4 linked regions of the Arabidopsis thaliana genome follow. The protein of the gene in region 2 purifies or fractionates together with the protein of the main gene of each other region. This does not show direct contact. Each region holds a gene or a part of one and is shown on either strand. Other genes may lie near its edges.

Region 1 (7,817 bases), on a different chromosome or scaffold from region 2:
GAGACAACCAAAAATATGCCTCTGTGTGCGTATTTGATGGTTTTACGCAACCTTTAAAGTCAATAATTTTATCTATGACTCTGTGATAATAGTTTTGTTTGTAGCAAATGATCTTTTGGTTACGCACATCATAGGAGTATTAATTATTCGTTAAATATCAAAAGTATCAGATGTCTCCGTTTCTCATTTCTTCTTGGCAATGTTTTAAAAATATTTCGAAAACAAAATATGGTCATTGTTCAATTTCCACTATTAATGTTCTGCTTTTAGTTTGTACATAAAATTTAATTCATTGTTGCTAGTGTTTAAATGTGAAGGAGCTAGGAAAGTTCGTAGAAATGCACCAAATGAAGACTTTTGAGAAAATGATAGAGTCAATGAAAAGAAGAGATAATGAAGTGTATGGTTCACTTCTATGTTCTAACAATCTCTATTTTCTTAAAATTATTTATTTTGTCATTTTCTATCTTGTCATGTTCCTGCTTTTCGGTCAAGTGGCTTTCTTCCATTGACTTATATTTTGTTATTGTTATTTAATTAGTTGGAATAATGTTTTACGACGATTTCCATATTAATTCTTGAATTAAAATACTATAGAAACTAGTTGCCCCAAAAAAGAAAAACTATAGAAACTAAGAAGATGTGTAAAATAAAATATTTATATACGGATTCATCAACATGGTTGAAAAAATTAAGGTATCATCATAAGATTAATTAGTTAAAAATTTCAAGCAAATAGGTATAGTGATGAAAAAAAAAAAGAAAAAAAAAGGTATAGTGATGAATGTTATTTGTATGATGAGTCCTTAATTCTAACTAAATTCATCATTATCCGATTCCGAACAACTCCTATATGCACAAAGAATATTTTTACTCTCGATTTATCTCGTCGTTATGCATGTGAGCATTTATGTGATGACATGTTATGGCTTATGATAATAATAACAATGATTAGAAAATGTTATTGAAATGTTTAAAAGTCAAAACTGTTTTATAGTTAGGTTTTTGTGTGTGGAATTTATTGGGATTGAAGAAAAAACGTGTAAAGTAAAACTCTGTTGGGAAAGTTATTTAATGAGTCAACTGATGAAGTTCGAATTTTTTCCAAAAAAGAGAAAAATAGACGAACAAATTAGCGTATAAATACTAATACCATATAAATAGATTAAACGCAAGATGAATCTATCTCATGTAAAACTTTATGAAAATATAGTAGACAAAAATAAAAAAAGAGATACGTTGTTCAAAGAAGCAACTCACTAAATATCCTATATATATGAATTACTGGTTTAAATAACCTAATTACAGTTTACAGGAGTTTTATATGGATGTTGTCCAATGTCGTAAGCTCATAATCTTAGACTTGTTATGTTTATTTCAATAGAAGCGTGTAGACTAAACCGCAATTGGCAACTCGAGTGTTCCGTCTGTATCTCCGCATCGAATGAGAGATACATGCTTATGTAATATAGTTCAGCGCGGGCATGTTTGTATCTGCATTTAGTGATTGTGCAAACAAAAATCAAATGATCAAAGTAGTTAATGCCTCCAGTGAAGCATCTCGGAAGCTGTACACGAGAGGAAGTTTTCTTCAAAGAAATAATCAGTTGACTCGGTTTAATTGTTACGTGTCACCTAGTGTTGTAGGTTAAGGATGAAATTTATCTCCACCAGATTGCAAATTTATTTTTATTTACTCGTCAATCTATTTCATCTTCGTTGTATATGGTCAACGAAACTATTAGATTACAATCAATTGATTTTATAATTATTACTAAGGTATGAATAATTTCAACACCACCAATTAGCTATAGTTTCGATCTGCACTTTGACACTAAATTATAATTTTTATAATTTAGTGTATCAACGTGACATCATGTATGTGATAATTAGCTTACATTATCTTATACTAGTTTGTAAACAAATACTGGCCATTGGTGGAGGAAAATTATGTGCACTAAACAACAAATGAGCATCCATTATAGCTTAGACTAAAGAATATTTGCATTATATGTAATGAGTCTCATATTTAAGTAAATGGCAATTCTAAAATTTTTTCACTAGCTAGATAAAAACACATCAATACTTTTTATTGATCTACCATTGGTGGTCAGATGATAATTCGATTCAATGTTTAGCCTAAACATATTCTTTCTGACCGATTAAAAACCAAGTGAACGTTTTGTTTTGGTCGATCTATCCCAAGATTAGTTGGACTTTGTTCCAAATTTCTTGATGAGCAAACACAAAAGTGTAAATTGTTTCTTATTATTGTTGTCATGTACCATATATATATATTTGACAAAATAACCTAGTATAGTAGTAGTAGTATATATATAATTATATATATATATATTAATATTAGTTTCAGTTTGTTTATTTTACAATTATACACTTCTCACTCTAATTGGTTATCAAAGATTCATGTTTCCTTCACTTGGGTTGTTTCTTTTACCTGTTTCGATAATATTGATGACTACATATATATCCGGTTGGAGTCAAAATGTTGAAAGAATCGAATTTAGCTCAATCTTTGAAGTTGGCGTTTAGTTTTTGAAATTAAAGATTTCTCTGCAATATTTTAATTGAAAATCAATATTGAAGGACTTTTCTGTAATATAAATCTATTTTAAAGGTTATTTTCAAACCTGTATAAGATTCGACACCGAAACATTTGACATTTTCGATAACGTGGTGAGGTCACTGTGTGACCTTCCAAGTAAAACTCCATAATTTTCTTAGTATTCGAGACGACTTAATTGAGTCATATTAATTAAGTGATACATAATATCTCTATATTTTTTTGGTCGAAGATACATAACAATTTTACGGATAAAATATTTGGAGATTTACATGCTTTCAGATTCAGTTTTAATACTCGTGTACATCTGTCTTCAAATCCCACTTAACCGAATAGAAAAGTATTCGCGTATACTGTTTGTTGGTCAAAAAATAGTCACAAAAAGTTTTCAAAAATAGATATCATTGTTTCACAACTTTTCTTTTAAGGAAAAAAAAACACTTTTTATACTGGAAAAACTCAACAACAACGTCCCCTGCCGTTATATTTGAAAAGGATTAATCATGCTCACATGTAAATATTTTTCTTATACGAAAAAGTAGTTATCCTTATTCAACTTCGTGTTTGTCAAGTAGCTCGAAGAATATTTTTGTTCACTACCGTTGGCTTGTACTAATCTAATACTTTTATAGTAGGCCCTTAACACCATACAAATGTCCAAGTAGGTATATTCTTCAATTTTTATTTGATTAAACAAATTGAGATAAACTATTGGCGTTGACCGATCTTGGTTTTCATTGCCTCGATTTTGCTGTTTTATATTTGGTTTCTTCTTGCTGGTTGGGATGCTGTTTTTGAACTGTGAGGTAGTCTTCATTTGTTATAAGAAGAGCTGCTATCTTGATGCTGTGGATTAGAATTTCCCCGTCGTTTAGCCATTTCTGCAAGCTTTTCTTTATCTTGGATTGATGGTGGGCAATGTCTCATGTGCTAGATTCTGGTTATAGTTTTTGATTTTCCATGGTTCAGTTTCTATTTTCTTATGCATTTAAAGTAATGTTTGTTAGCTTCCCATACTTTTGGGCTTTAGTCTCCGAGGATTTTTGTTATCCGTCGACTTAGTTTTTGAGATTATCTTGTTAATCGTCAGCTTTAACTTTGTAAACTCTATCTATAATCTATCTTTCAGTAAAAAAAAAATAAAAAAAATTGAGAGAAACATAATTTATGAGACAAAAAGATATTAAACATACTCTGTAACCGTTAAGCTGTTTTCAGCCCAATGTCATGAAACCCATTATTGAATTTAGTTCTTAATAGGCTTATATAGTCACATAATAATATTGGGCTAAGTTACTTGGCCCATTAAATCATTTCCCGTGGTAGGTTCCAGAAACATATCATAAACCCTAGCAGAAACTCTTTCCTCTCTCGTCGTCTCAAATCTCTTCTTCCTTCTTCTTCTCTCTCGATTCAAGATAATCCACACGCAAAAATGGGAAGCCAACAAGCGGCTGTTTCGTTCCTTTCCAATTTGGCGAAGGCTGCTTTCGGTCTTGGAACGGCGGCGACGGTGCTGAATACATCGCTTTTCACCGTTGACGGCGGAGAAAGAGCTGTTATCTTCGATCGATTCAGGGGAGTGATGGATCAGACTGTGGGTGAAGGGACTCATTTCTTGATCCCGATTCTTCAGAGGCCTCACATCTTCGATATCCGCACGAAGCCTCACACGTTCTCTTCAATCTCTGGTACTAAGGATCTCCAGATGGTTAATCTCACTCTTCGTGTTCTCTCTCGTCCTGAGGTATAACGCATAACGGTTCTTCATTTTTGATCTAGACTCGTTTGATTTCTCTGAATTGAGGTTTTTCAGATTCATTTGCGAATTGGATTTAGGGTTTAGGGTTTTGATGATCTATGATTTTCAAAATTTGTTTCGAGGACTAGGTATTGTAGAATCGTTATTAATTTGGTGTGTTTATGTGATGTGAATTGTTGTGAAGGTGTCGCGTCTCCCGTACATCTTCCAAACTTTGGGTCTAGAGTATGACGAGAAGGTTCTTCCTTCGATTGGAAATGAGGTTTTGAAAGCTGTGGTTGCACAGTTCAACGCTGACCAGCTTCTCACTGAGCGTCCTCACGTCTCAGCACTTGTTCGGGAGTCACTAATCACCCGTGCGAAGGACTTCAACATTGTGCTTGATGATGTAGCTATCACGCATTTGTCCTATGGTGTGGAGTTTTCAAGGGCTGTTGAGCAGAAACAAGTGGCTCAGCAAGAGGCAGAGAGGTCTAAGTTTGTTGTGATGAAGGCTGATCAAGAGAGGAGAGCTGCGGTTATAAGAGCTGAAGGTGAAAGTGAAGCTGCTCAGTTGATTTCTGATGCTACGGCTAAAGCTGGTATGGGACTTATCGAGCTTAGGAGGATTGAAGCTTCAAGGGAGATTGCGTCTACACTTGCTAGGTCTCCTAATGTGGCCTACTTACCCGGTGGCCAGAGCATGCTCTTTGCCCTGAACCGTTGATCTTGATCAGATATGATGGTATGTAAAAGCTTCATCTGAATCCATAGAATTAAGTCGTTTTGTGATTTGTCTGAAGGCTTTGTATTATGGTTATGTGCAGGTTGTTTGGGAGCATTTTGCGATATTTTAATGATCAAGTTGTGAATCTGATTGAATCAAAAAGGTGAAATGCTCTTTTGTTTTGATGAACTCTGAAGAAGAAAAAGAAACTAGTTGTTTGAGTTGTCATTATTGTGTTCTGAATCTCGGCAAAATTTACTCTACCTGAAGAATCTTTGTTTTCAGCATCATGTTTATCTAATTCTCAACAAATAAATGATTTTGGCTGAACTGTAAGTAATTTGTTTGTTACACATGCGTGAGAAAAGAAAATACAGATGGTACCTAGGAGTGTTGTTCTATGCGGATAAACTATGGTCACATCTGGATTATCTAGATGGTACCTATTTTGCATAAACTGTCGATAGTCTACGTCAAATTTCGATCTGTATGGACATTCAATTGTTTTTGCATAAACAGAGCAAGTTCAGAAACAAAGCAAATAAAGAAGAGAAATCATGAAAGATAGCCTTTTCTATCGAGATCCATTTTATCCATCGGTTTTAGTTTTTTTTTTTTTGGTCATCTAATGATAATGATGACTATGTAAAGACGGCGTCGGTTCCTAGACTCAACTTATGTGTCTGTGTCAACAAACTCTAGATGGAACTTAATGTGTGTTTCAACCACCTCTAGATTGAACTTATGTGTGTATATCAACAAACTCTACATTTTTTGGCAATTTTTTCTATCTCATCGTCAATTTCATTCATTTAACGAGCACAACAAAAGCTAAATTCATTTATGGTATTGGTAAGATTTTTATTTTTATTTCTACAAAGCCGCAAATACAAGACCAAAGGAAGTGTCAAAGTGAACAGCTGAAGTAGCAAGTTTCACGTACAAACACCAAACTCGAGGAGGGACTATTCAGCATAATTTATACATATACATGTAGATACATGTATTGTGTATTTATATATATGTAGGGTTTTATAGTGTAGGAGGGATCCAGATATAGCCGTGAGTCTGAAGATAACCAGCTTTCTCTAGTAGCTGATCAGCTTCTTTCGGTCCTCGGCTTCCTGGTTTGTATGGGATTGACTTTACTTCTCCTTTGTCGATCCTGTGGAGTAGCGGCGTGAAGATCTCCCACGCAACCTGTAATAATCATCAAAATGGATACAAATGTTAGCTCCTGAATTGTATGATGCAAAAGTTTGTGTCTGGATTGTGTCTATAGTTAGAGCATTTGTAATGTAACAAAAAAACGATCTCAGAGACTGCTTTGGTTTAAGGGTGGCGTTAGAAAATGTTTCTACCTTTAATTCGTCTCTACGAACGAAATGTTGTTGATCGCCTTTGATTCTGCAGAGAGATGGAAAGAAAATATGTTGAAGATAACATGAAGGAACAGAAGGCATCAATTAGATATATAAAGCCTATTGGGGTAGTATATAATTTAGAAAATTTATTTCTTACGTGTCAAGAATTAAGCGCTCGTATGCCTCAGGGATAGCGACACCTTGATACCGTTGCCCATACGACAAGTCTAGTTCACTTTGCACAGTATTCATATCTAGACCTGGTTGCTTAACCTGTGTAGCAAAAGCATAGCCAAAAGCGTTATGGTTCACTGTAGTGGTTCAAGGTCAGAGTAATTAGTAAATTATGTTTGTTTGTTCATCATATACTTACAGTTAGTTTCATGTACATTGCCTCTGAAGGTTGCAAGCGTATCACAAACTCGTTCCTTCCTTGCTTTTGACCTGTTGCAAGAGAGTTTAGACAAAGCGATACATTGTGTCTTTACATATATTTAAATTCAAAAAGCTAAAAGAAGATTCAAAACACGATGTCAGGGCAAGACAATACATCTGAATATGTCGCCTGGGACATCCTTGAATTGAATGCGAATTTCTGCCTTCCTTGAATTCAACGCTTTTCCGGCCTTTAATATAAATGGAACACCTGAAAGATATATCCAGGACCGTTAGAATGTGCATGCAAACATGTCGGATTTTGGTTCCACATGCTTTAACCAAAAGATTGATGCTATCTATGATCATGTTGACCCATCAAACCTCTGTTTTTTCTTCATATTTTATGTCAATTTCCAGATTGTTTCTGAACTGATAGATGAAAATATGAAGAGTGAAGTGGGACATGGTACCTTCCCATCTTTCGTTGTGTATGCGAAGGATTGTTGTGGCAAATGTTGGAGTGTTTGAGTCGTTTGGAACAGTATCATCATCCCTATATCCTTCGTATTGTCCAAGAACTACCTCGTCATCGCTTATCGGAACCACAGATTGAAGCACCTGAAGTTCACTAAAATAATCAGTAACGAGAGACTAATTGGCTGAAAATGCAAATGGAAATATCAACCAATCCATGTAAACTCGCTAAGGAGATTTTTAAAGAAAAATGTAACTAGATCAAACAGTGAGGTTCTCAATCATATGAATTCAGATAAAAGAGGCAACGAAAACCAGATAGAATGGCAAAAAGTGGTCAAGAAAAGTATTTGTTCACCTTCACTTTCTCATCCCGGATATGCTCAGGTTTAAGAGATATTGGTTTCTCCATGGCAACAAGGCAAAGAACCTACAGAGTATTATGAACTCAGTTAGTCAATACATGAAAGCATTTGAACTTACAGAGAGACTCTGAAAAACAATCACATAGATTTCCAATGAAGTTTTGTTATCAGGAAAAGTATCTCAGGT
Region 2 (7,457 bases):
TCTCGGACCTCTTCATCTATCATCGCACCGGTTCTGTTGCTGTACGGCTTGGAGAACTCGTCTTCCCGTTGTGGGAATGAAAGCAATCCTATCTTGTCGCTGAATCCGTACACTGCCACTTGCGCATAAGTCATCTTAGTCACCTTTTCCAGATCGTTCTGAGCCCCAGTGGATATTCTTCCAATCAATACCTGCAATCAAAACCCACCAGAAAAATTAACAGGATTCACATCTTCAACAACAAATAACAGAAAGTTTATGACCTGAAACCTTAATGAGTTCTTGACTTCTGTAAGAGGAAACAACTCAACAAACTGTCTACCAACCAACTGTCTATGTCCTAATTTATGGTTTCTATTTCTTTATTTCCTTTTCCTGGAGTGCTTTGCTTAGCATTTTAATATGAGGATGTTAGAGAACTTTGTAGGTTTATGGGTTTTCAACAATAGACAAAACTTTGGGCTTTGTTTAATGATTTTACGTTTTGGGTTTGGTTGGTCCTTTTGCAACTTTTTGGATTTTTATCACTCTTAACACCACCAGTTCACACCCAGAAGAAGTTGAAGTTGATAGAAAGATTTACCTGTTCAGCTGCCCGGCCCCCGAGAGTCATGCAAGTCATATCAAAGAGTTGTTCTTTTGTCATGAGCAAGTTTTCATTTGGAACATACTGGGCAAATCCGAGCGCTGCTGTGCCACGAGGAACAATAGTCACCTTTAGCAACGGTTCCGCATGTTCCAGGAACCACCCAGCAACCGCATGGCCAGATTCATGATATGCAACTGTACGGCGCTCCAGCTTGCTTATTACCTGCGGTCATGAAACCACCAAAAGAGATTGTAGAACATTCAGGTTTCCGTTGTAGAAAGAAAAAAAAATCGTGCTGATAATATACGTCACCAATTTGTTGGGTTTCAAATTTGAGATTTATCCTAGATTCCTAAGGAGCAGGTTCCAATATAAACGAAAATGAACAAATAATAATATAAAAAACTGGCAATACGCCAAACAGTTGAATTTTGTTGATAAAGGCGAAAGCACATACCCGGTTTTTCTTCTCCAGACCACCAATAACACGATCGATTGCAGAGTCAAAGTGCGCCATTGTAACTGTTGCTCCTTCATGTCTGGCAGCAATAAGAGCCGCCTCGTTACAGACATTCGCAATGTCAGCTCCAGCAAATCCGGGAGTGAGGGCTGCAAGCCTTTGTGAGTAATATGAGGGCTCGTGATCAAGTTTGATCTTCTTCAGGTATATCTGGAATATCTGATCACGGCCTTTAATATCAGGTTTATCTATGGTTATCTGGCGATCAAACCGGCCAGGCCGTAATAAAGCTTTATCAAGAATATCTGGCCTGTTAGTCCCAGCAAGGACGACAACTCCAGCGGTAGTACCAAATCCATCCATTTCAACTAGCAGTTGATTAAGTGTGCTTTCACGCTCATCATTTCCACCAGAGAAACCTCCACGTCCCCTCGCACGGCCAATCGCATCGATCTCATCAATAAATATTATGCTAGGTGCACACTGTCTAGCCTCTTGAAACAAGTTTCTCACTCTGGAAGGTCCAACACCAACAAACATCTCCATGAAATCTGAACCAGATATTGAGAGAAACGGTACAGCTGATTCTCCTGCAGTAGCTTTTGCTAGAAGGGTCTTTCCAGTCCCGGGTGGGCCAACTAAAAGCGCACCTTTTGGGATTTTAGCTCCCAAATCTTCATATTTCTTTGGGTTCTGAAGGAAATGCACAAATTCCATAATTTCTTGTTTAGCCTCCTCGCATCCCGCAACATCTTTAAAATATATCTGGCAAAAAACAAAATAGATCAGTAGTAAATCTCAATAGCATCATGAATTGGAAATGAAGATGGTAATTCAACTTCTCCACCCTGATTGAAATGCTGACCTTATTCTTGGAGTTTTTATCTGCTCTCGTTATTTGAGCTTTCCCTATATTGAAAATTCCACGGCCAGCCTTCCCACCAGGTCCGCCTAAACCTCCCAGTCCACCTTGCATCCGTCTTGCCCCAAAAATTAGCGTAGCCACGAGAAGTAAAGTCGGTGCAAATCTCAATAGTTCCTGGTACCAGATAGTTTCACTGACGTAGGTGACAGGAACAAAGTCATGAGAATTAACGCCTATAGCTTCTTGGGCCTCTTCTAGTTTCTCCTCAAATGATTCAACACTACCAATATTAAAGTAGTACTTATACTGACCACCACGTCCTTTAGCAGGAACTCCATTACCAGGACCTTGAACAACTTCTTCCGTTGTTTGGCTTTTTGGTGAACTCCTCACATAGACTTTTGCGACTTCTTTATTGGAAACATCTATGTGATCCACTAAACCAGCCTCGAGGAGCTTGTTTTTGAACTCCTGGAAACTAATCTGAACCAACAAATATAACACGGATAATTAGTTGACATTCCTCAGGCCCACACGTCTGCAGTTATATAGATAACATGATACACAGAGTATAGTTGGACATGCTTGCCTGTTGCTGTTCTCGGGAACCAAGAGAGAAAGTAGAAAGGATTAAAGCAATGGCCATAAGAGGAATTAACATATTTTGATATTCATTTGAGAACGCGTCCCCAGCATTTTCGTTTTCATTTTTCTTTGAACCATCTGCATCGCAACAAATACATATTCAATTACTACAATCTTCAAACAAACTTTCACAATCCTTTCAAAATGAATAGTTGTCAACAATCCTACAATTGTGTGCCTAATTATCAATTCAATAAGACGATAAAATGATTCCCGAAACTCTCAAATGTATCAACTAGTCTACTCAATTTCTTTTCCATAGTACCAAATGGATTCGACATCCAAAAATACGAGAATGTTACATAAACCGTCACCTCTGGATTCAGATTTCTGCTCATTCTTGGGTGCTTTCTTACTGTCTTTTGGATAGTAGTTCTCATAATCTGCAAAAGAAAAGCAATTTAGGCTTCCAATTCTCTCTCAAATTACTGTGAACACCTAATTTGATCCGTATAAAAATTTAGGGTTTGCTACATACTCTTCTTCTTTGGGGTTTGACTAGAAAAGAACCGACGCAATCTAGGGTTAGCGAAAGCACGGCTTAAATCACCGGCTTCTAGTCCCTTTCGAGCAGCAAAAGAAGCAAAGTGCCGCCTCAAAAACCCTAATCCACCATCCACCTGATTGACGGCCGCCTCGAGATTCTGCGGCGCTCGTAACCTCCCTTGGTTAAATACCGCCGATCTCACACCACCGCCGTACACAAATCCCTAATTTCACCGGAAAATTGAAAAAAATAGGAAATTAAACACAAAATTAACAAGCGTCGGAAAAAAAGCATCACAACGAAACGAACCTTAGAACGTGAGGATCGAGCGAGGGAAGAACCAAGCTTGGAGAATATCATTGTCAGATAATCAGAACGAACAAAAGTGAGCTCGCATAATATATAGAAACCCAAAATCGGAGATCTAATCAAAACCCAAAAGGAGAAAGATGGCAGCTTTGGTTTCAGATAGAGCAAAGTAACAAAATTTTAACAAGTGAAAATGTGGTGATTGAAAAAAATAAAGAGCCCAGAACGAAATTTGTGATTTTTATGGTGTTTGTTGAGGACAACAATTTATGTCACACTTTTGAGCTGCTTGGGAACCAAGACATCAACGCGTTCCAGACTCCAACATATGTTGTTGTTCCGTGGATTATTTCAACCGGTTTAGTCTTTCAACTAAAAACCAACCGGTTATTTATTTCGCAAATCTTTAACGTGGTTAATGGCCTTAGCTCCAGTAAATTCGGGCCCTTGTTTAGCTTAATGGGCTTCGTTTTAACTAAGCCACATTATAAACGAGCATTTGACTCGAGTGGGGTATGTGTGGCAACTATTCCCACCTGAATATAACTACGCTTTAGCACGTGGCAGTACGTTCCTCCACGTGTAAGTTTCTAGACCGCAAGTACCTAGCAACTTCCAGAACAAGCTACGGTCACTTCCAAAACTAGTGTAATAAAGAAGCAATCTAATTAAGAACCTTATTAGGAAAGTGCGAGAGAGCGGACAAAAATGGAGGAGAAAAACTACGACGACGGAGATACGGTGACGGTTGATGATGATTATCAGATGGGATGCACGACGCCTACACGTGATGATTGCCGGATACCAGCATATCCGCCTTGTCCACCTCCGGTGAGAAGGAAGAGATCGCTACTAGGCTTTGGGAAGAAGAGGGAACCACCGAAGAAGGGATATTTTCAGCCGCCGGATCTAGACTTGTTCTTCTCGGTGGTAGCAGCCTCCCAAGCGGCAACCTAGTTGCGCTTAGATTGTGACTCCTCTTTGACTTATATTGTCCCGTTGGTGTGTGTGTATTAGATTGTGACTCCTCTGTGACTTATATTGTCCCGTTGGTGTGTGTGTATATATATTTAGTGTTTCGGCTTCTTTTTTTGGATGTAGTCATGTAGGATACGCAGAACAATGTTTGTATGAACTTTATGTTGAACTAGTTTGGTTTTGAACTTTTGATGTTAATTATTCCTTTTTTGTTTTGTTTGTTTTCTGTCAGGTTGGGAAAAATATAAGTGTTTTTCTATATTTAATATAGAAATGGTCTTTGTATTATTTGTAGTCATGGACGCGTTTTAAGTTTTCATAACCGCTACACTAGTTATTTTCTCTCCAAGAATAAATTGAAAGCTATGTGGGTTAATATGGCATAACGAGGGATGGAAACTCTTAAAGAAAGTCTTCAAGTCCTGGCTTAAAGTTGTGTGGTATACATATCTAGTCCGAGGACCAATACTGATTCAAAATCTGCTTGGTCACTTTGATCATATGGAGCAAATTTTTGCATACCTTATAGTCGAAAACACATTAATCTGTTGAAAGCCGGTTCACCACGACCGGAGAAGAGTGCGACGGTCCATAATTCAATGATATAGTGGGTGGGGGTAAAACATTTTTGTTGAATTGTGGATGCTATAATCTTTTAACATTATTAGAGTGTATATATATAATTTTAGTTATGGTTTAGTTTGGTTAGTATCTTTGGTTAAGTTTTCTTTGTATTTAAGCTTAATCATGTATCACATTTCACTTTAATGAAGATTTCACGATTATTGAAAATTGAAATGGTATTAGAGCCAATTGAAGATTTCACGATTATTGAAAAACATGTTTTTCCATGAACAAATATCGTTAAAGAAAGGAGTCTAGATTTGAAACTTTTGTTGTCCCTTTGTTAAGTACAAAAATTCAAATGTTTGATTGTTTAACTAACGCAAGAGCAAAACAAACAACTTGTCCTAATAACCATGCACATAAATGCTTCCAACCACGCAAATGCGTTTAACGTTATAATCCGACCACATAAACCAGCCAAACTTGGAACAACGGTCACTTTGACCCTCATAAATCAAGCAATTTCGACACCAAAATCTATCATTCCTCTTCACAAGTAACAATGTGTGTACTCATATATACATACTAGAAAACATGATCATCTCTGTGATTAACATGGTGACGTCAACACTAGAAATTAGATTGTGACTGACTTTTAGAGGATGAACTAACATGACAGTTTACCAATTGAAAAAAATGGTAGAAAGTACAACACAATGTTTATTTAGTGTAATTAATGGAGTGAGTTAATTTCGAGAAAGCCATAATTTTTTGAAAACATAAGTGAAAAAAACAAGTGGAATATTATTAGACCAAAGCTGTCTACTCTTGGCCCCGATTTCAAATTATTTATCGTAAGAAACACTTTACCCCCGTCCCTCTCTGCTCCTTTCTCTCCAAACACTCCCAAATGGCCCTCTTACAAAAATATATTAATGTTTTCAAAAATTTTAAAAACTCTTAGAATTGTAGACCACTGATTCATTAAATTGTTTGAGAGACAAGTCCGCTCCTTGAATTTAGACGTTTCTAGACAAATTAGAGACAATGTCTCTTATATTAACATCAACCACTATACCAATGAAAGATAATTTCCATCTTATAAAAAACGTTCAGTTTCGTCTAACCAAAAGATGTAATTTGTCATTTACAAGTAGTTTTATTCAAGGCACAGTGTTTAAGCGGAATACTTGAGTCCCCCCTCTTCTTTCAATTGGATCTTATATATTTAGCCGTAGGCATGATTCCAAAATATATATCTTGCATTTTGTGAAAATGCTTTACTCTTATTGATAAAATAGTATTCCATTGTGATTCCTCTACAAATTTCATTGTGATTCCTGTCCCACTATGTCAGTTTTATTGATAAAATTTATTGTGCTCTCTCACTCATGTGACGGTTGATTTATGTTAACAACGTCGTCCTTGTATAACACCAAAACGTAGTGTGTGCATATAATATATGCGATTACGGGTTACCCACGTCTTACGGTCTATACTGAATTATCTTGAAACATATGTAATCGAATCAAATATAAAATTTCATAGTAATATATGGTAAAGAAATATTCATACAACTCAATGGACTGAAATACAAGAAAATAATTGAGAAGGAAATTAACCTTCGAAGTTTGTTGAAAACTGCTTAACCATGATTATAACATAAAATTTAAGACTAAAACTCAAATTAATTAATGTAGTAAAAAATAATGAATTATATACACTGATCATTTTTCATATCTTTTTTGTACATGATATATGTAGATTCTTTCTTTATCTCTTAAAACTACTAGGGGACAAAAACAATTATAGAATGTTTTCAAGAAAACATGAAATATTTAGCTTTTCTGTCATGAAAACAACTTTATTTTATACAGCTAACTTCATTTGATTTTTTTTTTAACTCAGGTGTATAGAATTTTTTTTCCTAGTACTAAAGTAATTTTCTAATCATTAGTACTATTTTTGAAAAAAGTATAATAAGGTGTAAAACTTTGAGCAGGAGTTCCAATAATTAATCCTAATTACATAATAGTTGCACATTACGCAAAGCCGGGCTAGCTAAGAGTACAATTTAAACTTAAACTATTTCATTCCCTTGCCTTCACCATTTCCACTTAGTAGTTATTTTGGAAGCATTCACTATATAGTAGACATAAGCAGAGAGACACTATCCCTCTCTTTGCTTCCCTTTCTCTCTCTCTCTCCATCTCTCTAGATCACTATCTCTCCTTCTGGCTCAATCACCACAAACTCACAATCAAACTAAAAGTAAAATAAAACCAGAAACCCTCCATCTGAGTCAGAAGCTCTCATTCTCTCCCTCTCTCTTCTGCAACACAAAGATGGACGAGAAGTGGAGGCTGTCGAAAAAGGATGCATTAGCTGCGTCGTGTTCATCTTCTTCAACTTCATCTAAATCCAAGTTCTCTAGAAGCTTCTCCACAAGCGCTTCCTCCTCAAAAGCTCCTGCATTCGTACGGAGCTCATCCACCAAATGCTCAGTGCCTTCATCTTCGTCGTCTTCAATCTCAAGAAGTTCATCGAAAAAAGAGAA
Region 3 (7,682 bases), on a different chromosome or scaffold from region 2:
TATAAAAATGAGGTTTAAATAATATTTCTTCTAGGATTATCTCATCTCTCTCTTTCATGGATAGTACAGAGTTAAAATCAAGTGCAAAAAGGGGCAATTATCTCAGCTTAAAAAAGTGATGAACAAGAATTTAATTCCTTCCTCTTTCTCAAGATAACCTCAAAGAGATCTTCTTATGAAACATATGCTTTAGCTATCTTTAACCCTTTTTCCCTTCTCTCTTTCTATTTCTCCCTCATACCTTTGTTTATTCTGATGAAGTTGTGAGCACTGAAAGAAAAGAAGAGAGGAGAAGAGAGATATGCACAAGAAGAATTAAACTTAGGGACACAAAACAACATGACTTGGTGCAATGACCGTAGCGATGTTCAGACCGTTGAAAGAATCATTCCCTCCCCGGGGGCGGCTGAGTCCCCCGTAGCCTCACTTCCGGTCTCTTGTCACAAAACTTGCCCTTCTTGTGGCCATAACTTCAAGTTTCACGAACAGGTTCTTGTTTCTCTTTCTACCTATATCAAGTTTAAACTTTAGATGATATTGGATATTTGAATATAATATATTAATATGTAATGTAGGCTGGGATCCATGACTTGCCGGGACTTCCTGCTGGAGTAAAATTTGATCCGACGGATCAAGAGGTCTTGGAGCATCTTGAAGGCAAGGTAAGAGATGACGCAAAAAAGCTTCATCCTCTCATTGATGAGTTTATCCGTACCATCGATGGTGAAAACGGCATTTGTTATACCCATCCTGAAAAATTGCCAGGTGATTCTATGTTGCATGTTCAATCATCAATTAATCGGTTACAAATTGAGACTATAGTTACAAATTTTCCGTCTTCAAATGATCTTCTAGTTATGCTTATTGAAAACTACATAAATACGTTGAAAAAACAATTTAATCATATTTTAATACGATGGAAATTGTCATATAGAAAAAGAAAATGTAGCTAATCCAATTTCTTAATTAAATTAAGTTTGATGAATGCTAATTAGTCGTTGAATACATATATAGGAGTGAACAAGGACGGGACGGTGCGTCATTTCTTCCACCGACCGTCGAAGGCATACACGACGGGAACAAGAAAGCGACGTAAAGTCCACACTGATTCTGACGTCGGTGGAGAGACACGGTGGCACAAGACAGGAAAAACACGGCCAGTTCTTGCTGGAGGAAGAGTGAGAGGCTACAAGAAAATCCTAGTGCTCTACACAAACTACGGCAAACAAAAAAAACCCGAGAAGACTAATTGGGTAATGCATCAATATCATCTTGGCACTAGCGAGGAAGAGAAAGAAGGTGAGCTCGTCGTCTCCAAAGTCTTTTACCAGACTCAACCACGTCAATGCGGTGGCTCCGTTGCTGCTGCAGCCACCGCTAAGGACCGACCTTACCTCCACGGCCTCGGTGGAGGTGGTGGCCGCCACCTTCATTACCATCTTCATCATAACAACGGTAACGGTAAGAGCAACGGCAGTGGGGGAACCGCCGGAGCCGGTGAGTATTATCACAATATTCCGGCTATTATCTCGTTCAATCAGACCGGGATACAGAACCACTTGGTTCATGACTCTCAACCTTTTATCCCTTAAAAACAAAATGATTTTATATCAACGATCCTAAAATAAAACAAACGGTATATAATCTAAGCATTATCTTTGATATACACATACATATATACGTTGAAAATAATTTAAAATTTACAGTGCATTCTTGTATTCGTAACTTGTTTTTTGTTTCTCTTAATTCTTTTTTCCTTTTGATTTTACGGCTTTGTACAATTTAAATTCCTTGGACTGAGACTGACCATGAAAAATATGTACAAAGATCTCCATTGGCTATTGACTATTGTTACATGAATTCATTTTGATATCTTGTCGGCTGAGATTTATGGACTCTGTAGCACGTTGTCTACATAAGCGTAAAAACTAAAACAGATAGGAAAATGTTGCCAACATATAGATATACTATCAATATTTACCAATTAATACACATCTTCATGATCAATTTTATACAAAAGGTGTATCGGGACACTGACACTCGTATAAGCAATAACCATGCAAATGCCTATGGTAAATCCAAATGCAAGTGTTTTTCTCCCCCAAACGACAAGTTTATTACAATTAACTCATTCAGCAAGACAGTATCTTCTTTTTCAACTTTCACCTTGAGATAGACTGATCCCAAGAATTTTAAAAGTAGTATTTAGTAGTACAAATCAAGCTTTTGTTCCAACGGATTCTAGGAACTTAAAAGACGAAATGACCCACATGCAGTTTTACTTAAGAAACCTCTCTAGTTCTTTGCATCAACATCCAAATTCATCCCTTGTAGGTTAAGCAAAAGATCGTCTGAGCTCAAGTAAACCTTGTTCGCCGAGTTTGCTATGGTCTGTGCAATCTCTCTTGCAGCCTCGATCTTCCTGAGCGTGATAAACGCTTGGTTGTTTGCAATTGCTTGACCAATGAGCTGAGCACTCTTGGCTTCTCCCTACACAAGCCATGTGAACTTTCGTCACACAACAATTTCGCTCTCAGAGTTTAGATTACAAGTGGAAATGTAGAGAATCTCTTTACCTGGGCGCGGATAACAGCACTTCTCTTGTCTTGTTCGGCCTTCTCAACAATGAACTTAGCCCGCTCAGCCTCTTGAGCCGCCACCTGCTTTGCTTCAATGGCAGCTGTGAACTCCTTCCCGAATGTCAGGTTTGTGATGGACACATCGTCAAGCGCAACATTGAAGTTTGCTGCTCGTTCAGTCAGAATCTTCCTGATCTCCCTACTGACCGCCTGAGAGAAGCCCGGAATAAATCTTTAAGAACTTCACTTACTAAGAAAGAGAAAAAAGATGATCATATATTCACAGTCATTTGTATACCTCTCTCTGAGTAATAAGCTGGCTTGCATTGTACTGAGCAACCACAGCTTTCAAAGTCTCGTTGATTATAGAAGGTAGAACTCTCTCGCTGTAGTTCTCACCAAGGCTTCTGTAGATTTCAGGTAACTGGTCTGCCATGGGACGTGTGAGAACCCTAAGCCCAATTTTCACCTGAAAGTTTTAAAACCACAAAAAACTTAAGAGCTTATGATGTTGAAGCGAACGACTTCACATTCACTAAATTCACAAAACAAAATGACTGAAAATGGGAGGAGTAGAAGCAGAGTACCATCTGAAGATCACGGCTTCCGGATGTACTCTCAACAAGGTAAGGTCGAGCACGAACGTCATAGATGACCGGCCTTTCAAACCAAGGAATCATAAGGTGTGTACCCTCAGGGTAAACCTGCGTAATAACAAGGTTACAAGCTACATACTTGTGAATTAAGAAGACTGTTTTTACGCTCAACGAGAACAACAAAATTTCATGACTAATCAGTCTCAGGGATTAATGAACAACATATGAGACTTTAACTAACAAATCAACCTGGAAAATTTCATCCAAATCTCACAAACAGCAAAAAAACTCATTGGGAAAATACATTTACTGAAAATCCAAAAAGACCCAATTTGAAGAAACACTGACTAACCTTATCTTTAATACCGACTAAACGATTGAACATGATGGCTCGATGTCCTCCTTCAACATTGTAGAGACTGTGCGTAGCACCATAGAGACCAAGCCCACCAATAATCCCAACCTTAAGCAACGTCGAAATGGCACCACCACCTGGTATCTTTGGAACTTTGACGTTGTTCATCTCTTTTTCTGAAACAATCCCAATACATGATTAATCAAAACCCATGTGTGGTGGAAAAACTACACAAACATACACTCAAAATCCAGACTCACATCTACTCAATTATGCAACTTCATCATGAAAACATCAAAAACAGTCAAAGTAACAAAATCAAGTCAGATTCAGCACACAAAGCCAGTAAAGATAGAAAATTTAACGAACGCTCATGCTAAGCTGCGCAAAATACTTCCTAATCAAAACAGTAACAACGAGTAATTAGCAAAATCCGAGCAGAAAACTCTCACCCACCTCCGAAATTCACGTCTTCACTAAAATTTTCGAAAGGAATCGATCAATACCAACCCATTACACAAAATACATAATCAAAATGGCGAGAATCGTACCTGGAAACTTTGCTTCAAGTCGCAGAGAGAGGAAAAGGAAGATCGTGGAGAAAGGGGTTTAGGGTTTAAGCTCAGACTTCTATTGGAGTAAATGGGACGGTGTCACATTTTCCGTTTTGGAAATGAACTTTGGGCTCACGTTATGGGCTATTAGATATTTGATGGGCTTTCTAGTAAATACAATATAAGTTATTGGGCTTAGTTTAAATAAGCCCATGTTGGAAATATTTGACACATGTCTTGGCTACTAGTGCTAAACATGCAACCGAACAGTTGTCGAGACAAGTCGCAGCATATACAATGGATCAAACACGCCTAGTGTCGCCGCGTCTCGCTCATGTGTCACCTTGTTTCCTCGTTTTTTTTTAATTTTTCATAAGTTCTTTTGTTTTATCTTCAATACAAATTTTTGGCTGTATCTTGCAAACTCTTCGATCATATCGCCAATATACGTGAACACTGGTGATCTAATTTGTTGTGTTAATTGTTAAATTTAGATTCTATTCTCCGGTTTAAAAGTGAATTATATGTATCATGGTTAAAACATTGTAAGTAAGATGATAATAAAATGATAAATTTAGTTGATGGATAACGTGAAGCAAAAAATGAGATAGATACATTTGATTTTGTCGTATTTTGACATATGCGGAGAGTGAGCTACGCGCATGAAGATCAAGAGACACTTGCTCGAGCTCACAGAGTGACGTGTAAAAAGCTTAGACTGAAGTCCCCATGCAAACCTAATCCTACGTGGCTCAAACCACGAGCTCACTTGACAATATATAAACTCCTCCTAAGTCCCGTTCTCTTCATCCATCTCTCACAACAAACAAAAAGAAAATGGTTAAGCTCAGCAATCTCCTCGTTGCAACCTTCGGGGTTCTCCTCGTCCTTAACGGCTGCCTTGCGAGGCAGTCACTTGGGGTTCCTCCTCAGCTACAGAACGAGTGTAACCTCGACAACCTAGATGTTCTCCAAGCCACCGAAACTATCAAGAGTGAAGCCGGTCAGATCGAGTACTGGGACCACAACCACCCTCAGCTCCGATGTGTTGGTGTTTCCGTTGCTCGTTATGTAATTGAACAAGGCGGTCTTTACTTGCCCACCTTCTTCACTTCCCCAAAAATTTCCTACGTCGTTCAAGGTTCATACATGATAATTACCCTTCCAATAAAATTAATGTATATATCATGTCTAATTAATGAAGATATAATCGATTCACCATATGATAACTCTTTTTTTTCCTCTCTACCTAAAATTAATTTACAGGAACGGGTATCAGCGGAAGAGTGGTCCCTGGATGTGCCGAGACCTTCATGGACTCGCAGCCGATGCAAGGACAACAACAAGGCCAACCATGGCAAGGACGACAGGGACAACAAGGCCAACCATGGGAAGGACAGGGACAACAGGGACAACAAGGAAGACAAGGCCAACCATGGGAAGGACAGGGACAACAGGGACAACAAGGACGACAGGGACAACAAGGCCAACCATGGGAAGGACAGGGACAGCAGGGACAACAAGGGTTCCGTGACATGCACCAGAAGGTGGAACATGTGAGACGCGGAGACGTCTTTGCCAACACTCCAGGCTCTGCCCACTGGATCTACAACTCAGGAGAACAGCCACTTGTCATCATCGCTCTTCTCGACATCGCCAACTACCAAAACCAACTCGACCGCAACCCTAGAGTAATCTCATACTATATACAAAGACGCACATCCGCTATTAGAAGATCTACCATATCAGTTTAACTAATTCATTTATGTATTGCATTTGTTGATTCTTTGCTATAGGTGTTCCATTTGGCCGGAAACAACCAGCAGGGAGGCTTTGGCGGTTCACAGCAACAACAAGAACAGAAAAACTTGTGGAGCGGGTTCGACGCACAGGTCATAGCTCAAGCATTGAAAATTGACGTTCAGTTGGCTCAGCAGCTTCAGAACCAACAAGACAGCAGAGGAAACATCGTTCGTGTTAAGGGACCTTTCCAGGTCGTGAGGCCACCTCTAAGACAGCCCTACGAGAGCGAGGAGTGGAGACACCCACGTAGCCCACAGGGCAACGGCCTTGAGGAGACTATCTGCAGCATGAGGTCCCACGAGAACATTGACGACCCTGCTCGTGCTGACGTGTACAAGCCCAGCCTAGGTCGCGTGACCAGCGTCAACAGCTATACCTTGCCCATCTTGGAGTATGTCAGGCTCAGTGCCACTCGTGGCGTTCTCCAGGGTGTAAGTACATTTTTCTTAATAAATTAAATATAGATATTAACATTTTTACCAAAAAGAAAAATTAGTCATATCCTAAATTATTTAAGAACGTATACAAATGTTTTAAAAATGAATTTGATAGATATTTATTCCTTTTTTTTTTCTTTAGCAAAACATATTAAAATTGGAAGTTCTATATGACGGATGACGTGTTCACATGTTTTGTCAAATGTTACAGAATGCGATGGTGCTTCCTAAATACAACATGAACGCTAACGAGATCTTGTACTGCACTGGAGGACAAGGAAGGATCCAAGTGGTCAACGACAACGGACAGAACGTGTTGGACCAACAGGTGCAGAAGGGACAGCTCGTGGTCATCCCACAAGGGTTCGCATACGTTGTCCAGTCCCACGGAAACAAGTTCGAGTGGATCTCTTTCAAAACTAATGAAAACGCAATGATCAGCACTTTGGCGGGTAGAACCTCGCTCTTGAGGGCATTGCCATTGGAGGTCATATCAAATGGTTTCCAGATCTCTCCCGAGGAAGCTAGGAAGATCAAGTTCAACACACTTGAGACCACTTTGACCCGCGCTGCCGGTAGGCAACAACAACAGTTGATCGAGGAGATTGTCGAGGCTTAAATCAAAACGTTTTTCTTTTTCTTAATAAAGTATGGTCAGTTTGTAATCACGTCCCTTTACCTTTAACGTACGTGTAAAATATGTGTCTGCGGCACCTCACTTGTAATAACACTTTCTTCTCATAAATAAAAGGGAAGTTTCGAGTTACATACTATAATATAGCGCCAGTTTTTTCGTCTATTCCACAAAACATAAGTTTGTGTCCATCTACTGTAGCTTGAGCTTCGTATATATACTTGGTCTTTATTCTTTTTTTTTTCAAAATACGGCTTTCTGCTTTCTGTGGGCCTAAACGGAGGCCCAAACGAATTAAAGTTCCGTCACTTGGAAACGTTATCCTAGATTACTCTTGCGGGGAAAAGTGTAGATTAGTTCCAATTTTTGAAGTGAAAAATTGTGTTGGATTCTATGTCGTAACAAGAAATAGCATGGCCTCCAAAGATTATTCTCTCTTTCTTTAGGCTTTAGCTTCTAAAGCTAAGCTACGGAAAAACTGTATCATTCTTCTCTTTTTTTTGGCTTATGATCCATATAAGAGAGCTTGGAAGAGCTGCTTTTCATCTCCTGATCACTAGCTCATACAGTTTTTGTAATTTATTAACGAAACTATATAAAAAAAGGGAAGCCGAAAAAACAAAACAAAAAACAACCTTCATCGGCTGCTCAAATGCCAATCATCCCAATTGGTCTCCATTATTGTTTTCTCGTTACTACTCCTCCATCTTTGATTTAATAATTT
Region 4 (7,218 bases), on a different chromosome or scaffold from region 2:
TCCTGAGTCGGGTTAATAAGTAAATAGAGAGTATATAAGAAGAGTCGTTCCCAAACACTACAAAGCGCTCAAGGTCTGTGTTTAATTTGGGCCTTTCGGAGGCCCATAATCTAGTAGCAAACTGATCGGAATCAAACTTTGGTTACACGACAAAAAGCTTAAATTCAAAACCTAAAGACGACAAAAGTAACTGTCTCAGTGTTTTTAGTCACAAGCAACGTTAGCGACGGCGAAATGTTCGGCTTGCCGGCGAGCCGCCGACTCCGAAACCATGGCTTGGATCAGCATCGTCTTCACTTCCCATGGTGCATAAGAGAAACTTTTTCTCGCGTAAGAGTTGATCAGAGCTGCGATCCCCTGTTTCAGCAATGCACCGTACGCGTTCCCTTCTTCGTCATTCCTAGCCGTTGATTCCACTAGCGTTAGATCAGATCTCCACCGTTCTTTTGCTACCATCACTCCGAATATTTTCTCCACGGTTGATCTCTCAGGTACCATCCTCGGCCATGCTTCCCTCTGGCTGCTCCAATACCTGCTCAAAAACACCACCAACGAGTTGAGATATGACTCAGCTAAAGATTTTTGTAAAGAAAATGAAATTCAAGATTGATTGATTTACTGCGGCGTGCATCGTCCTCTGTGTCTGGTGTAGATGAAACCAGGCCTCGTCGCCGATGAATCTCCGGCAAAGAAGCAGAGGAGGAAGAAGGTGACCAGAACGAGTCGACTCGGAGAACAAAGTGTGTCCATGATATGCATATGGTTAAAACAGCATTAATTAATCAGCCCTTGGTCTTGGGACTCTTGGGTCTTCATTAAATCGCTATCAAGAATCTGAGTTTGCTTGAGTTATCGGTCTCCTCTAGTTGCCTATTGCTATTACCTCGGAAAAAGAGACATACTTTGACGCTTTTACCCTTAGAATTCAAATTAACGTGATCTTTTTGTCAAAGTGGATAGAGTGAATATAATTATTAGGGGGATATAAACGTCATTTTTGAAACGCACATGAGTTTGTCTGAATCTGCTGCTAAATACGTATTCTTTTTATTATTTTTGCTGCATGTCATCGTCAGTCCTCACGTGAGCTACGCACGGCGCACCATGTGCCCACAAGGCCACAAGAGGTCCGAACGATTTTAATCCTAAACCAGTACAACGCTATTTTGTATTAAGAAAGTCACATAATTTTAACAGATTAGTTTCGTCAGTCGATTATGATTCCAACTTTGTTAATTTTTCATGTTTTTAATGGGCCTTTTCTTATAGTCATGCCCTACGAGGATTTTTCCAGTTCCAGCCCAAATTTTGCCCATGCCAATGTCATGTAGAGCAGTTTCGTTGTTATAATATATATGACCCCCACGTTGCCTATCAATGCCAGACTATATTCGACTATATACACGTATCCACATCATTTTAAATACAGAAAAATGTAAAGATATTCATGAACCATGACCAGCTAACATTTTCAAGTTGTTTTTGTTGTTGTGTAATCTAACTGGTGAACCATGAGTTTGTATACTATATACGATATATATTGCCCTACAAATCTCTTATGATCTTATCGGATGTGGGATACAATTCTATATATATATATACATTTTGTCAACCTTCTTATAGTATTGTTTTGCATTTCTTAATTATAAACATTATCGTAAAATGTAGACTAAGTTGTTAAAAACAATGGATCAACTTCTTTTGCAAGTCACGCATACATGTCGTCTTAAATCTCTCCTTAAAATCTTTCTATATAATACCTAAAGGGTTAGCTCTAGCACAAGCACACACAGAGAGATAGAGAAAAATATAACAAATTTTAAGCCATGTCCTCGTCACTATTCTCTTATGTTGTCCTCTTAATCTTCCTTTTCACCATCCCATACATTCAAAGCCAGCCCACTGCTCCAGCTCCAACCACTGAAAAAAGTCCCATCAATCTCACAGCGATTCTTGAAGCTGGTCACCAATTTACCACATTAATACAACTCCTCAACACAACTCAAGTCGGGTTTCAGGTAAGTGTACAACTCAATAGCTCTGACCAAGGGATGACTATATTTGCCCCAACAGATAACGCATTCAACAAGCTTAAACCCGGAACCCTAAACAGTCTGACATATCAACAACAAATCCAGCTCATGCTCTACCATATCATTCCAAAATACTACTCTCTAAGCGATCTTCTCTTAGCAAGTAATCCCGTTAGAACTCAGGCTACGGGACAAGACGGAGGTGTTTTTGGGTTAAATTTCACAGGACAAGCACAAAGCAACCAAGTGAATGTTTCCACCGGTGTTGTTGAGACTCGGATCAATAATGCATTAAGGCAACAGTTTCCTCTAGCAGTTTACGTGGTGGACAGTGTGTTGTTGCCGGAGGAGTTATTCGGAACAAAGACCACTCCCACCGGAGCTCCTGCCCCGAAATCCTCAACTTCATCGTCTGATGCCGATTCTCCAGCTGCTGATGATGAGCACAAATCTGCCGGATCAAGCGTGAAGAGGACAAGTCTAGGGATTGTTGTTAGCTTTGCATTGTTTTGTTGCTCGGTTATATATATTGCTTGAACCTTTAACTAAAAGCGAGGGAAACGTTCCCGAAAAACAAACATTTATTTGCATGATTGATTTGATTCATCTATGCCTTGATATTTCTTTTTTGAAATTTCCTTTATAAAAATACATGTATTATTTTTTTGAATTTAAATACATGTATTATTAAATGATGACCAATTTTGAACCAAAGTAAGTTATCAACAAAATAACCACATCATCTATATCTCACTTTATATAAGTTAAGAAATTTCATTTAGGTTTAGTAGTAAATCATCAAGAAGTTTAGAGCCTTTGCAGTTTGCAACAAAATATGGGTTTGAAAGTTACATTTTTGAAAAGTGATAATAATTAATCTACTATCTATTAATCAAAATGAGAATTATTTCTTTTGTATAGAAAGTAAGGAAATGTCAAATATGGCCGTTTATATATTAAGAAAAATAAATAAAAATCGTTTACTAAAAAAAAAATATATTAAGAAAAATAAATAAATTAGTGAATTCACTAATGGGCCTGAATACAAATTTTGGGCCCAAAGATCTCTAGTAACAGAAAATGCGTGATCGACCAAAGCGTCAACAAAATCCTGATTTCTGAGCTTTAAACCCTAACCCCTCTCTTCTCTCTTCTCCACGCCATTTCCAGAATTTTCAGGTACTTCCTCTCGCCATTTTCATTATAGATCGAATTCTTAGTTTAAGCGAGTAAAGCTTCAGATTCTTCGGCTTCAATTTTGTGATCTAAGTTTTTGTTTCGTTTCAGCTAATTTGCAGATTATCTTTGTCTCTTTTTCGTTGATCCAAGTTTTCCTTGGGTCTAATCTACAAACGCATTTCGTTTCTCTATTTATCTGTTTCTGCCTTGGATTTTGATTGGGTTCCAAATTTGCAGGTGTTCGTGAAAAGATGAATTTTAAGAATGTCAAAGTTCCCAAAGGTCCTGGTGGTGGTGTTATAGCTGCGGTGGTTATTGGGGGGCTCAGTCTTTACGGTGCTACGCACACTCTCTACAATGTCGATGGAGGTCATCGAGCCATTGTCTTTAACCGGCTTGTTGGTATCAAAGACAAGGTTAGTCCCTGCAAAAATTGGTTTCTTCTGAATCTGTATATTGACAATGAATCTTGTGGTTGTGACATCTAGCTGAAGTTAGGTTAGGCTTAGCATTACTAGTGAATCTTATGTTTGCGGCATATAGCTCACGTTAGGTTAGGCTTACCGTTAGTAGTGAATCTTGTGTTTGCCGCATCTAGCTTAAGTAAACAAGGTTGATTTCTTAGTCTAGTTTTGATAGTCGTTTACAAAAGTCATCTTGATGCGCCATTAATAGTATATCTTTGCTTGCTTGATTATGTAGGTCTACCCTGAGGGTACTCACCTTATGATTCCATGGTTCGAAAGGCCAATCATCTATGACGTTCGTGCAAAGCCTTATCTAGTTGAGAGCACATCTGGGAGCCGTGATCTCCAGATGGTATTCCGCTTCATTTCATCACTTCTAATACTAATGGGTATAATCAGGTCGTGTGGTTTTGTCGTGTGAACTACATGATAAGCTTATGTTGTGTGGTATTTAAACATTCAGGTTAAGATTGGGCTTCGGGTTCTCACCCGTCCTATGGCTGACCAATTACCAGAGGTATACCGGTCCCTTGGTGAGAATTACCGCGAGAGAGTCTTGCCTTCTATCATCCACGAGACCTTGAAAGCTGTGGTTGCTCAGTACAACGCAAGCCAACTTATTACTCAGAGAGAGGTTAGCCAACTGGCTGTAAATACATTTTATTGATTCCTCTTCAATGGTAAATTGATGTCCCTTTTAATGGATATATGTTTTTTTGGTGTTTTTCAAGTCGGTGAGTAGAGAAATCAGGAAAATCCTAACTCTAAGAGCCGCAAACTTCCACATTGCACTGGATGATGTGTCCATCACAGGCTTGACATTCGGAAAGGAGTTCACGGCAGCCATAGAAGGAAAGCAGGTCGCTGCTCAAGAGGCCGAACGGGCTAAGTTCATTGTCGAGAAAGCTGAACAGGACAAGAGAAGTGCTGTTATCCGCGCCGAGGTGTGAAAAGTGTTTCTCTCTTTTCTAGCATTTTAAAAACCGGAGATTGTGTTAAAGCTTGCTTTTTTTTTTCTTTTTTGTTGTGAACTATTTTAAAGCTTGCTAACTGATGTTTCTGCATGGGTTTATGTAGGGAGAAGCCAAGAGTGCTCAGCTCATTGGTCAAGCAATCGCAAACAACCAAGCGTTCTTAACACTGAGGAAGATCGAAGCAGCTAGAGAGATCGCACAGACCATCTCTAGGTCGGCGAACAAGGTTTACTTGAGCTCTAACGATCTGTTGCTTAACCTACAGGCTATGGACCTTGATGTGAAGCCGAAGAAGTAGAGAATGATATGATTAAACCACACCAGAGCTCTTCTTCCATAATCGTATTTTCAATTCACGGATTCTTAGACCAAAAGCTATGAGTTCTATCTTGTGAATTTCAGACACTATCGTGCGTTTGTAGTCTTTCTTTTGTGAGATCAAGAAGAAAAGAAAAGATTTATGTTTTTACAAGTTGTTTACATTTGGTAATAATGATGTTCACAAAGCTGGAAAATAGGCTGTGAAAAAGATCAAACAAATGGGCCTGAAAATGAGAATTGGGCTTTTGGCCTAAGTTTGGTGAACCCCGAGAGACACACATCTGGGTTTAACGACGTTAGGTCGGAGCCAATTTGATTCCACCACCACGAGCTTCCTAATCTAGCTTTAATGGCGTTTCATGGAATCAGAGAAGTTGAAAACTATTTTATACCTTTTCTACAGCGAGTCAAAAGCCGCAATGAATGGAAGAAGATCAATGCCTCCATCATCATACATGGATTATCACAAAGCAGCTTCATGGTCACTAAAATGGTGGATTTTTGTGATAAGATTGAAGATATGGATTATGCAACTCGTCTTTTTAACCAAGTATCGAATCCTAATGTCTTCTTATACAATTCTATAATTCGTGCTTATACTCACAATTCATTGTACTGCGATGTGATCAGAATCTACAAGCAACTGCTCAGGAAGAGCTTTGAGTTACCAGATCGGTTCACTTTCCCGTTTATGTTTAAATCTTGTGCGAGTCTTGGATCATGTTATTTAGGGAAGCAAGTTCATGGTCATCTCTGCAAATTCGGGCCTAGGTTCCATGTTGTGACTGAGAATGCATTGATTGATATGTACATGAAGTTTGATGATCTTGTTGATGCACATAAAGTGTTTGATGAAATGTATGAGAGAGATGTTATATCTTGGAATAGTTTGCTTTCTGGATATGCAAGGCTTGGGCAGATGAAGAAAGCAAAAGGCTTGTTTCATTTGATGCTAGATAAAACTATTGTATCTTGGACTGCGATGATCTCTGGGTATACTGGGATTGGTTGTTATGTAGAGGCTATGGATTTCTTCCGTGAAATGCAGTTAGCTGGTATTGAGCCTGATGAGATCAGTCTCATTTCTGTTTTACCGTCGTGTGCGCAGCTCGGATCTCTAGAGCTTGGGAAATGGATCCATCTATATGCAGAGAGAAGAGGGTTTCTGAAACAAACTGGTGTTTGCAATGCTCTTATTGAAATGTACTCGAAATGTGGTGTGATTAGTCAAGCTATCCAATTGTTTGGCCAAATGGAAGGGAAAGATGTTATATCATGGAGTACGATGATCTCTGGGTATGCATATCACGGGAACGCTCACGGAGCAATCGAAACATTCAATGAAATGCAGAGAGCGAAGGTGAAGCCTAACGGGATCACATTTCTTGGTCTTTTATCAGCTTGTTCACATGTTGGTATGTGGCAAGAAGGGTTGAGGTATTTTGATATGATGAGACAAGATTATCAAATAGAACCTAAGATCGAACACTATGGCTGTTTGATTGATGTTTTGGCAAGAGCAGGAAAACTAGAACGAGCTGTTGAAATAACAAAGACAATGCCGATGAAACCCGACTCGAAGATATGGGGTTCATTGTTGAGCTCTTGCAGAACACCAGGCAATCTTGATGTTGCTCTGGTTGCAATGGATCATCTTGTGGAGCTAGAGCCGGAGGATATGGGAAATTATGTTTTGCTTGCCAATATTTACGCAGATTTGGGAAAATGGGAGGATGTTTCGAGATTGAGAAAGATGATAAGGAACGAAAATATGAAGAAAACGCCAGGTGGTAGTTTGATAGAAGTGAACAACATTGTTCAGGAATTCGTTTCAGGAGATAACAGTAAACCTTTTTGGACTGAGATATCTATAGTGCTGCAGTTGTTTACTTCACATCAAGATCAGGATGTGATTACAAACAACAATGCTCTTGCATTTATAGGCATAGTTTAGAAGCGTTTGGATTATAGAAGAAGTAGCAAACTTATTAGGCGTCTTCAATCATACATATGTTACAAATCGATCAGAAATATACAACAGTATTTAATTATACATACGTTACAAATCGATCATAAAGGTCACAACAGTACTCATTCATACATATGCTACAAATCGATCAGAAAGGCCACAACAGTATTTAATCACAATATATAGGAGCTTTGATACTTCCTCTCGTATTCTACATTGTTTTGTCTGGACTGGGCTGATTTTAACTGGACTGGGCTGATTTTAACTCCATTCAT

Evidence for each region.
Region 1: the proteins of ftsh10 (region 2) and PHB3 purify together in Arabidopsis thaliana (affinity purification with mass spectrometry, with the first as the bait; one study listed by BioGRID). This does not show direct contact.
Region 3: the proteins of ftsh10 (region 2) and PHB1 purify together in Arabidopsis thaliana (affinity purification with mass spectrometry, with the first as the bait; one study listed by BioGRID). This does not show direct contact.
Region 4: the proteins of ftsh10 (region 2) and PHB6 purify together in Arabidopsis thaliana (affinity purification with mass spectrometry, with the first as the bait; one study listed by BioGRID). This does not show direct contact.

Annotation. Positions count from the first base shown.
Region 1 is NC_003076.8:16,312,821-16,320,637, reverse strand, and holds PHB3 (prohibitin 3), read left to right. Parts: upstream 1-3,346; 5' UTR 3,347-4,016; coding exon 4,017-4,328; intron 4,329-4,527; coding exon 4,528-5,049; 3' UTR 5,050-5,067; intron 5,068-5,149; 3' UTR 5,150-5,788; downstream 5,789-7,817. Other genes in the region: G6PD6 (glucose-6-phosphate dehydrogenase 6), read right to left, coding at 6,082-6,249, 6,411-6,456, 6,571-6,686, 6,787-6,857, 6,964-7,059, 7,262-7,409, 7,624-7,695. UniProt on the Arabidopsis thaliana protein: Prohibitin probably acts as a holdase/unfoldase for the stabilization of newly synthesized mitochondrial proteins. Necessary for mitochondrial and cell metabolism and biogenesis.
Region 2 is NC_003070.9:2,301,638-2,309,094, reverse strand, and holds the start of ftsh10 (FTSH protease 10), read right to left. Parts: upstream 4,661-7,457; 5' UTR 4,313-4,660; coding exon of another isoform or gene 4,064-4,312; 5' UTR 3,407-4,063; coding exon 3,356-3,406; intron 3,270-3,355; coding exon 3,038-3,269; intron 2,943-3,037; coding exon 2,874-2,942; intron 2,638-2,873; coding exon 2,504-2,637; intron 2,398-2,503; coding exon 1,915-2,397; intron 1,815-1,914; coding exon 1,047-1,814; intron 812-1,046; coding exon 584-811; intron 192-583; coding exon 1-191. Other genes in the region: AT1G07500 (uncharacterized protein), read left to right, coding at 4,064-4,312; RTFL3 (ROTUNDIFOLIA like 3), read left to right, coding at 7,246-7,457; AT1G07485 (uncharacterized protein), read right to left, coding at 7,203-7,430. UniProt on the Arabidopsis thaliana protein: Probable ATP-dependent zinc metallopeptidase. Involved in the assembly and/or stability of the complexes I and V of the mitochondrial oxidative phosphorylation system.
Region 3 is NC_003075.7:14,082,675-14,090,356, forward strand, and holds PHB1 (prohibitin 1), read right to left. Parts: upstream 4,209-7,682; 5' UTR 4,082-4,208; intron 3,707-4,081; 5' UTR 3,699-3,706; coding exon 3,528-3,698; intron 3,284-3,527; coding exon 3,167-3,283; intron 3,049-3,166; coding exon 2,878-3,048; intron 2,790-2,877; coding exon 2,577-2,789; intron 2,491-2,576; coding exon 2,296-2,490; 3' UTR 1,950-2,295; downstream 1-1,949. Other genes in the region: NAC073 (NAC domain containing protein 73), read left to right, coding at 340-489, 576-765, 1,015-1,592; CRU3 (cruciferin 3), read left to right, coding at 4,922-5,225, 5,351-5,775, 5,881-6,318, 6,536-6,943. UniProt on the Arabidopsis thaliana protein: Prohibitin probably acts as a holdase/unfoldase for the stabilization of newly synthesized mitochondrial proteins.
Region 4 is NC_003071.7:8,838,837-8,846,054, forward strand, and holds PHB6 (prohibitin 6), read left to right. Parts: upstream 1-3,135; 5' UTR 3,136-3,212; intron 3,213-3,320; exon of another isoform or gene 3,321-3,372; intron 3,373-3,449; 5' UTR 3,450-3,463; coding exon 3,464-3,628; intron 3,629-3,914; coding exon 3,915-4,031; intron 4,032-4,142; coding exon 4,143-4,313; intron 4,314-4,410; coding exon 4,411-4,623; intron 4,624-4,756; coding exon 4,757-4,951; 3' UTR 4,952-5,186; downstream 5,187-7,218. Other genes in the region: AT2G20515 (pollen Ole e I family allergen protein), read right to left, coding at 205-532, 620-759; FLA6 (FASCICLIN-like arabinogalactan 6), read left to right, coding at 1,827-2,570; MEF21 (mitochondrial editing factor 21), read left to right, coding at 5,324-6,928; AT2G20550 (HSP40/DnaJ peptide-binding protein), read right to left, coding at 7,215-7,218. UniProt on the Arabidopsis thaliana protein: Prohibitin probably acts as a holdase/unfoldase for the stabilization of newly synthesized mitochondrial proteins.